Linked DNA regions of Xenopus tropicalis. Each later gene encodes a partner of the first gene's protein in a complex. Links are inferred from orthologs where the notes say so. Each region holds a gene or a part of one and is shown on either strand. Other genes may lie near its edges.

What was found.
Region 2: the proteins of pfn2 (region 1) and vasp are in contact, whole or in part, in a crystal structure (PDB 2V8C), measured with the Mus musculus proteins. The link is inferred for Xenopus tropicalis from reciprocal best matches to the Homo sapiens genes PFN2 and VASP. Residues at the interface, in NP_062283.1 of Mus musculus: Gly3, Trp4, Ser6, Tyr7, Asn10, Cys13, Tyr30, Trp32, Met131, Tyr134, Ser138, Phe140; in NP_033525.2 of Mus musculus: Gly165, Pro166, Pro167, Pro168, Pro169, Pro170, Gly171, Pro172, Pro173, Pro174, Pro175, Pro176.

Annotation. Positions count from the first base shown.
Region 1 is NC_030681.2:118,615,007-118,619,055, forward strand, and holds the start of pfn2 (profilin-2), read left to right. Parts: upstream 1-1,249; 5' UTR 1,250-1,364; coding exon 1,365-1,496; intron 1,497-4,049. UniProt on the Homo sapiens protein: Binds to actin and affects the structure of the cytoskeleton. At high concentrations, profilin prevents the polymerization of actin, whereas it enhances it at low concentrations. By binding to PIP2, it inhibits the formation of IP3 and DG.
Region 2 is NC_030684.2:70,581,004-70,585,274, forward strand, and holds the start of vasp (vasodilator-stimulated phosphoprotein), read right to left. Parts: upstream 2,801-4,271; 5' UTR 2,479-2,800; coding exon 2,474-2,478; intron 1-2,473. UniProt on the Homo sapiens protein: Ena/VASP proteins are actin-associated proteins involved in a range of processes dependent on cytoskeleton remodeling and cell polarity such as axon guidance, lamellipodial and filopodial dynamics, platelet activation and cell migration.

The DNA.
Region 1 (4,049 bases):
GCATCTTCAACCTGTGGCATTCCGGCTGATCATGTACATCATCAATGCTGTTGTTGGCATTATGGGAATTGTAGTTCCAACAGCTTTGGAAACTGACGTGCATGATCCTTAACTAGCTCTTAAATTCTCCAACATCTTTTCCTATGGTTTTTTTTTGCTTCCACCCACTCAGTTTCTATGCAGTATATAAAAACCCATCCTTTATATTCTTCTGCAATGCTCACACTGCGACCTTTCTCCCCCCTCCCCGCGCATTTGTGTGTCTCTGCATGTGTCCTGCCTTCTCCCTGCTCCTCCCCCTCTTTCCCTCCTCCTACCCTTGGCAGAGCAGATATAAATCATATCCATCACCTCCTCCCCTCCCCAAATAAGAGTATTAAAAAAGGTTCTGAAACAAAGGAGCCCTGCAGTGTCCCGCGACTCAAAGAAAAAAAAAGAATTCTGTGTGCCCAAAGCACAGCCAAGCAAAAGGGACTAGGGGTCCTGTCTGCATTAGCCTCACAGGGGGGGGGCAGCAAAGCCAGTGCTATTCACTCAGGCAAGGGGAGCCCATGCAGTGGCCCTCCAGCTGTTACTTCTCCATACCTGACAGTGATCAGCAACAACTGATTCACCTATTATTTTAGAGGATTTATCATAGCAAATGTGATAGACTACTGCGGGTAACTTTTTCAGCTGTATCAGTTAGCTAGCCCCTCAATATTCTGCATTACATCTATTTGAATAGAACCTTTGGTGCAATGTAGCCCACACACCATATACCTGTGTAAAAGCATATCCACATATTGAAGGTTGTCTTTTATCATTATTCTTTATTTATATAGTGCCACCACATTTCTGCAGTGCTTTAGTAATGATTCATCTTTCACATAAATGATTGGCCAAGTGGAGCTTACAATCTAATGTCCTTCTTCACACAGGATCTGATACACTATAGAGATCCTAATAGAACCTCTTGTTAGTGGAGGTTGTAGTCTCATGATGGAGGGGATGCAGGCTGTGAGGACACAAAGTGATCCCTGCATGGAGCTGCAATGGCCAATGCAATGCTGCTCCCTCACGCAGCCCCAGCTACTGCCCGTTAGAACAACGTGGTGGAGGTGTGCCAGTGTCCTTCCGCTGCTGGCGGAGGGATCTGCAAGTGGAGGCATTAGAAGGAGATAGGGGGAGGGGGACTACACCCGGGCGCTGCCCTATTTCCTTGGCTTCTGCTGGCTGTCTGAGCTCAGATTATCTCCGGCCGTGACGGAGCCGCTTCACCCCCCTTCCCCGTTACCGGCTACCCACACCCTATTCCCCCCGCAAGCTCTAGTGAGGAACCGTTATTTTGCAGCGTGACGACCCCCTTTCTACCCGCACTGAAGATGTCCGGCTGGCAGGATTACGTGGATATGCTGATGGCCGATGGCAGCTGCCAGGAGGCCGCCATTGTCGGTTACGTGGACGCCAAGTACGTCTGGGCAACGACTCCGGGGGGCATCTTTCAGATTATAACGGTAAGCGGAATGAGGATGCAGGAGACTGATTGCCGCTATGTGCTGCACCTGCCGCCTGGGGGCGGGACTTGCGTCTAACGGGCTCCGGCTGCACAAAGGGGCCACACGGGACGCGGCTTGTCTGTATCTGTGCCGGTAATTCTGCGCTCCCCTGGGGGGCAATGTGTGTGTATGGTGCTGCCCTACTGCATAGAGTGTGCAGAGCTTTCACTGGAGGCCATTAGTGACCCAGTGCAAGTGGCACCAGGCCCAGTGCTTTACCGCGACACGTCGCATGCGACTTTAGTATGTCAGCAGTATAGCCGTATATATGCATATTGTAATGCACTTATTATTCAGCCAATGTCCCCCGGGGGCACTGGCCTCGCATTGTCTTATTGGATTCACAGGGTTTTTGAGAGGAGGGCAAAAAGGGCATTTGAAGAAGGAACTCTGTATCAGGGTGGCCCTCTGGGGGAAGGAATGGAAATAAAAGTACAATAGACCTGTACTGAGTAATTGTGTTCTCTATATTTGTCTGTGATGTTCAGTCTCGGGTTGTAGTTCAGCAACAACAGAGGCTGGAGATCCCTGATCCATTTACCCACTGCTAACATTGGGGCCTCCTGTATGTTACTATGTATTCCTCTATGGCCAAGGGCCCTCTGTTCTCTAAATGGCAGTGGAAACTTCTATCCTTGTTCAAGGGCTATGGGCACAATCAGTGCAGCTATTTCCTATGGCCATTTTGCCTTTAGGGAAGGTGTGTGCTAAGTGCAGCCCTGTGCTGCTTCTCACTACACCACTGGCTCTTGCTTGATGCTGGGAGTTGTAGGAAAGGTCCATGTGATCTTCCCACTGTTAATCTGCTGCCTCTGGAATGCTAGTCTGTATCTGGGGGAACTCTGAATGAATGTATGTAGTACAGGGAGGAACAGCCTCTGTGCCCCTGGAAGCCTGAAGGTAGTAGCAGGAGGGCCGCAGCATGCCCATCTTTGGTGTAGGGTGAAATGTGTAGGATCAGGCCGGCGTGCCATTGACTCACCACAAGTCGTTTGCATAGCACCCAGCCGCTGTCGTGGATGAGATTTAAAGCACCTGACGTAAGCAGCTTTCGTGAATCCCAGCCCCCGCTTCTCTCTCCATATTCTTCTGCAAGATGGCGTGGTCCCATTGATTTTTTTTTTCTCCTCTGTCTCCCTAACATTTACATTTTTTAGTCTCCCTGCCCGACATCATTGCTGGGTACCTCTACCTTTTTTTCCCCCCTCTCGTAAGCATCGCTGTGTCGTTAAGATTTGTGCTTTAGGGGTGCTGAGATCTAATTGGGTAGCGCAATTAAAAATTCTGCTGCATTCACAATGGCATCCTGCTGAATGGGGGCTACATAATGCCGTCCTTAACTCTCTCATGGCTAGTGTAGAAGCCCAAGAAAGAGCCATTTGTTTTGTGATTTATACATTACAGCCAAATTCAGTCGGTCCTTGTTTAAGGCTTCACATTGCAGTTGCATTTTTATGTCACATATATTTCAAACCCAAGCTGAAGTATTTTGGCACGAAGCCCAAAAACTTTAAAAATCACGCTGGTTGGTGCTGAATGAATCTGCCAGTGTCTGTCATACCATTCCAGTTGTGGCATAGCCGATGAACAATCTGCTGGGCCTTAGAAAGCTCATATTGCACATTGGTGTCTGTATCGGGTTTTAATTGAGAGATTTTTCAAGTCATCAATATAAAGCAGTTATTCCACTTCCTCCTCTGAGAACTTGTGCAGAATAAGTTCTTCTATAGAGCCAACTTTAAATGAGTCAAATACTCAGAAATAATTAACTGTAGTTCGAAGCATTCTTCCAATACACAGTAAATCTTTTATTCATGTAGTTAGTTGGGACTTGTGATTTCTATTGAAAGAATCATTTTTCAGTGCGTTGCTATTTCTTGTCCTTGCTACTTTTACCATTGGAACAATGTAGCAAGTCAGCTCTTCCTTAGCCAAGATTATTATTCCCACTGGGAAATGGAGTCTTGGCTGGAGAAGAGCTGACTCTTGCTACATTGTTTCAGTGGTCCAAGGAGTCAGGACCAGCAGTGCAATAAATAGCAAGTGACAGGCTGTTTTTAATAGCCATTGCAATTCCATTTAACTGAAGATTTGAATTATTTTAATGTAAATTTGAGAGTTGGTGAACTTTTTCACTTTGCAATTTGTTAGTATTTGGCTGACATTTCCTTTTAATATCAGACTGCAAGATTGTGACATTAATTTGAGTGACAAATTTAGAGCAATAGTCTGATTAATACATCATCAGTCTGGTTAATAATACACTGATGTCTCATTTGGGTAAGAGTGTCTCAACTGGGGCTGAGCAGCAGCTATTGAACTGTAGCTCCTTGCATTGCTAATAGCAGAGATTTCAGGATCAGCAATACCCAGGGGCTGTGGGTGATACGCTACCTTTATTGATCACTTATGATTTATCTCTATGTAAGTACATCTGGAGAAGGGTTAATCACTGGCACGGCCACTGGTAATTTAGGATGATATCACAGAACAGAGTAGAATGTTAGCCCT
Region 2 (4,271 bases), on another chromosome or scaffold:
CCCGTTTCCCATGGAGCTAATAGTGCGAAATAGTAAAAAACGCCGCGTATTTCCGCAAGGTCTGGCAGCTGCCTTTGTGTACACATAGGAATAGGTTGCTGTGCAAATAACAGCGTATTTCGGCAAACGCATAAAAAGTCCGTGGTAACACGTTTTCTAGTGTATTTACGCATAGTGTGTTTTCCATCGAGACTGTTTAAGTTATTTCTATGGATGATGATATTGTGCGTTTTTCAGCCGCTGAGAGAATTAGAAAATATGCAGCGTAAAAACGGCACGTCTGGCATTAGCCTTAGTAAAATGACACACAAGGCATTTTGTCACCCGCAGGCAAAACATGGAAAATGCTGTTTTATTGCATGTCTGATGCATTTTTGAAGGACTGCAAACTTGCATGGTGATTTCAATGCATGACAACGTAAGAAAATTTTGAAGGAATTTGTCACCCACGATTTTACAGGGGTGACAAAATGCCCCATGCGTAAATTCACTTACTTTTCTGCCTCTTTCCAGACTGCAACTTAAAATCCTTTCAGGTTGCCAGGGTTAGTGACCCCAGCAATCTAAACACAAATTGAGAGTGCTGTTTAATTTTTAATGTTTTTCTTATTTCTACTCCTTATCTTTCTGTTCAGAACCTCTCCTTTTTATCTTCTTATTTTAATTTTTAATTAACTTGACCGGGTCTTTCATGCAACTTGGTTAGTTTTCAACCAACTGCATAATGTCCCTGCATATTGTGTCTTTGAAATGGTCTCTCTGGCCAATCAACCTAACGGATGATGGAAATCTGTGCATCTATCTAGTTAGTTGGTGACCAAAAATGCATAAACTGAATGTCTGGATTATCAATTGGATATCCCAAATATTCTCCCACCCATGGGCAGCTTTAGGGTTTGGTCACACTAAATACTTATGTTTGATTAAAGTAAGCCCGAGTGCCTGTAGTGTAAACAGGATGCAAGTGCTCATATTGCACAGTAGCGCTCACATTCGGCAAATTCGACTGAAGTTGAATTTAAGCCCTGAGAGTATAATTTGAAACTTCCAGTAGAACCAGAGTTACAGCATATGACCAGTAAAATGAAATGTGCCACACCATACTTTAACCAAAGTTTGTGGCTGGGAGTATCTGTACCACTGTAGCAACCCCATCACTCACTTCTGATATACACTGAAGCCAGCTGTGTGACTACAAATCAACTAATTTATGACATGATTACTTCTGTAGATTTGCTGTCCATTTAATCCACACCATGGTCCAAATATCCAAAATGTTTTATATTAGGAGCAACAATATATTAGACTTTTGGCTAGTGGGGGATGATGGAAGATGTAGTTCCCCAGCACTCCTAAACACATGAGCTCAGCTGGAAAGCAAAGCAAACCAGTGAACAATAGGTTAATGAGAACTACAGCAGTACAAACAGGTCTTGAGGTCACAGCTTATATACAAAATGGATGCAGTTTTCATTGCTACACTGCAATAAAATCCACTACTACATGCTGAGCCTGCTACTTGAGTATAAGAGCAAAGACACACGGGCCGATTTGTCACTGATTTAGCTACCATAGGTTAGTGTACAAGCTGACGCAATTAACCTCCCATGGGCAAAGACAGACGGAGCTACTTAGTAGCAGCTACCAAATGCCAGAAAATCCCCTGCTATAGGCAATACTGAGCAAACATAGAGAAAACTATCAGTAAATTGCATTGCATTGTCTATTTTTGTAGCTGTGACAAGTAGCTGCTACAAGCTGCTCTGTGTGTCTTCAACCTAACATCCCTGGTACATACCCTACACCATTTGGTATGTTATGCTTTTACACTGTTGTTTGATTTTTAGTTATATAAATGCACTTAATAAATTTACTTTGTGTGAATCTGCTGTACCTTAAATGTATTTGTAGTTCTTGGACATATTACAGTACTCCACTCATACAAACAACAGCCAATTAAATATTGTGTATTTTTTGGTTGTATACACTAAGCCCATTGACTATAGGCTACAGCCCTGCTATTGGTCCTGAACTGGAAGTTGCAGAACCCAATCTACACAGCATATTGTATGCCCATGATCATACTGTATGTCCATCATATATATATAGAAGCAGAAACAAAGACAAAGCCCTTCCAGACATCAGGATGCAGTGAGTCACTATGACACATCCAGCAACTGATAAGGACACTGATAAAAGCGACTGCTCATGGGATGTGCCCTGTGCTGTATGATAGGAAGGAAATGCAAATATGTAATGCACATAACATCAGCAGAACACACTAGAGGGAACTATGGCACACATCACACCCACAACACAGCCAACACAGTTAATGATAAATGAAAAAATTGCATAAAATGACTCCGACAGGCATTAAACAAAGCAACAGGGGCACAGAGATGTGCTTAATACAAGACAGAACTTGACAGAGCATAGTACTACATGACAGAACATGACACATGCCCCCACTCACCTCATGCTGCGATATGAGTCTGTGCCTCCTGCAGGAAGGAATGTGCCCCCTCGCCTCCAGCAATTCCCCCTCTCCTCTTAATCTTTTCTTCTTTAAATCCTTTCCTATAACCCTCTTCCTCACCCCACCCTTCCTGTGTATTCCCTGCTACTCCCGCATGCTTGGGCTCAGAGGTGCTTGGGCTCAACTCTGTGCCAGCACTGCTCTTATCTTGCTGGTTCCTAACTCCCCGACTAAAATTGTCACCCCTCTCTTGCTCCTCTTTTTCTATCTTCCTTCTTATTTTTGTCTGCCTTCCTCCCCTACCCTAGCCTCCCTTTCTTTCGCTATATTCCTCTTTCTTCCCTCACTGTTACATTCAATCACTTCCTCTGTTCTGGGGACAGCCTTCTCTTAAAGAGGCAACAAGCCACAGCCCATCTTAAATGGGCGACCCACCTTTCTGGTGATGTCACCTCTACACGGGAGCTCTGTCTGCTCCCCTCCCCCATAGACAGCATACACTGCCCGGGGGGCGGAGGGGGAGCGGGCATAGTCATAGAGACAAAGGGTGGGGTAGAAAGTAGAGGTATGGCTAGGTAGTTCTGCCATAATCTCCTCTAGAATAGCCTTACTCCTTTCTGCTTAATGCTCGTGAGTGTAAATATGTAAATAATTATGGGACAGCGCGAGTTTCCGCAAAAAAATTAAATCAGGAACTACGGTCCTTTTGTTGCTGGTAAACTACAACTCCCAGAATGCCTTCGGAAGGCACGAATCGTGGAAGTCTTTTTTTAATTAGCGACATTTTCAGATTTAAAGTTTTCTATCAGAGTACAGCTTTTTCTCACAGGAGCCTTTTGCCAAAATGAAGTATTCAAGCATATAAATACATGAAAAATTTACAATTATTTAATTCTTCAGAAGAGCCGTGGTGTAGCCATGTAACGTAAGTTTTCACACGCCTCATGCATTAAAGAGGAAGTCTGGTTCAAACAAGATACTGCATAGTATGTGTAAGCATATTGCATTATCATATATTGACCTCTATGAATAAATAAAACTAGGACATGATCGAGTCTGACTGAATATGTTTATACTAGTTACATTATACATGCTTATATAAGCATTAGTGATGTCCATGCAAAATAATATTCACTCATTTGGCAACCTAGCTGATGTGCCCACCGAAGGCTAATGTCCCCCGGAGAGATTAGTCGCTGATAATTTTAAAAAGCGAGTTCCAGCGACAAGTCGCTTGTCTTTTCCTAATAAGCAGTTACTAGATATTTCAACAACAGAGCGATTCTATTTCCCCCAAATCCAAGTTCCCTGCCCACAATTACATTTCGTGCAATGGGAAAATCGCAGCAACTTCCCGCTCAGTAGGTTTTACTTTCAGCTATTCCAATAGTTTTGAATGAAAATGCTTTCTTTGTAAAATTGGTCAGCGATTCGGATCGATAAGCGATTTGAAGTAGTATCATCGGTTTAGGTACTGGCGATTTATATTCTTCTCTATGTAGAGACAAAACGAGCAACTTCATGCTGGAACTCGCTTTTTAAAAATCGCAGCGACTAATCTCTCTGTGGGACATTAGCCTAAGGTGGGTGATATTGAGCTAATTACAATTAAAGCAATATTTCTCTGCAAAGAAATTACCACTCCGGTCAATGAAGGAGCAATTGTGAGAATTTTGCTGTCCCTTTGCTGAGCTCAAAGTTACACTGGTGGCAAATGAAATATGTCAACACTTATAAATATAATAATAATAATAATAAAACAAAGCAATGGTTTTAGGAATGTATTGGGTTTTGT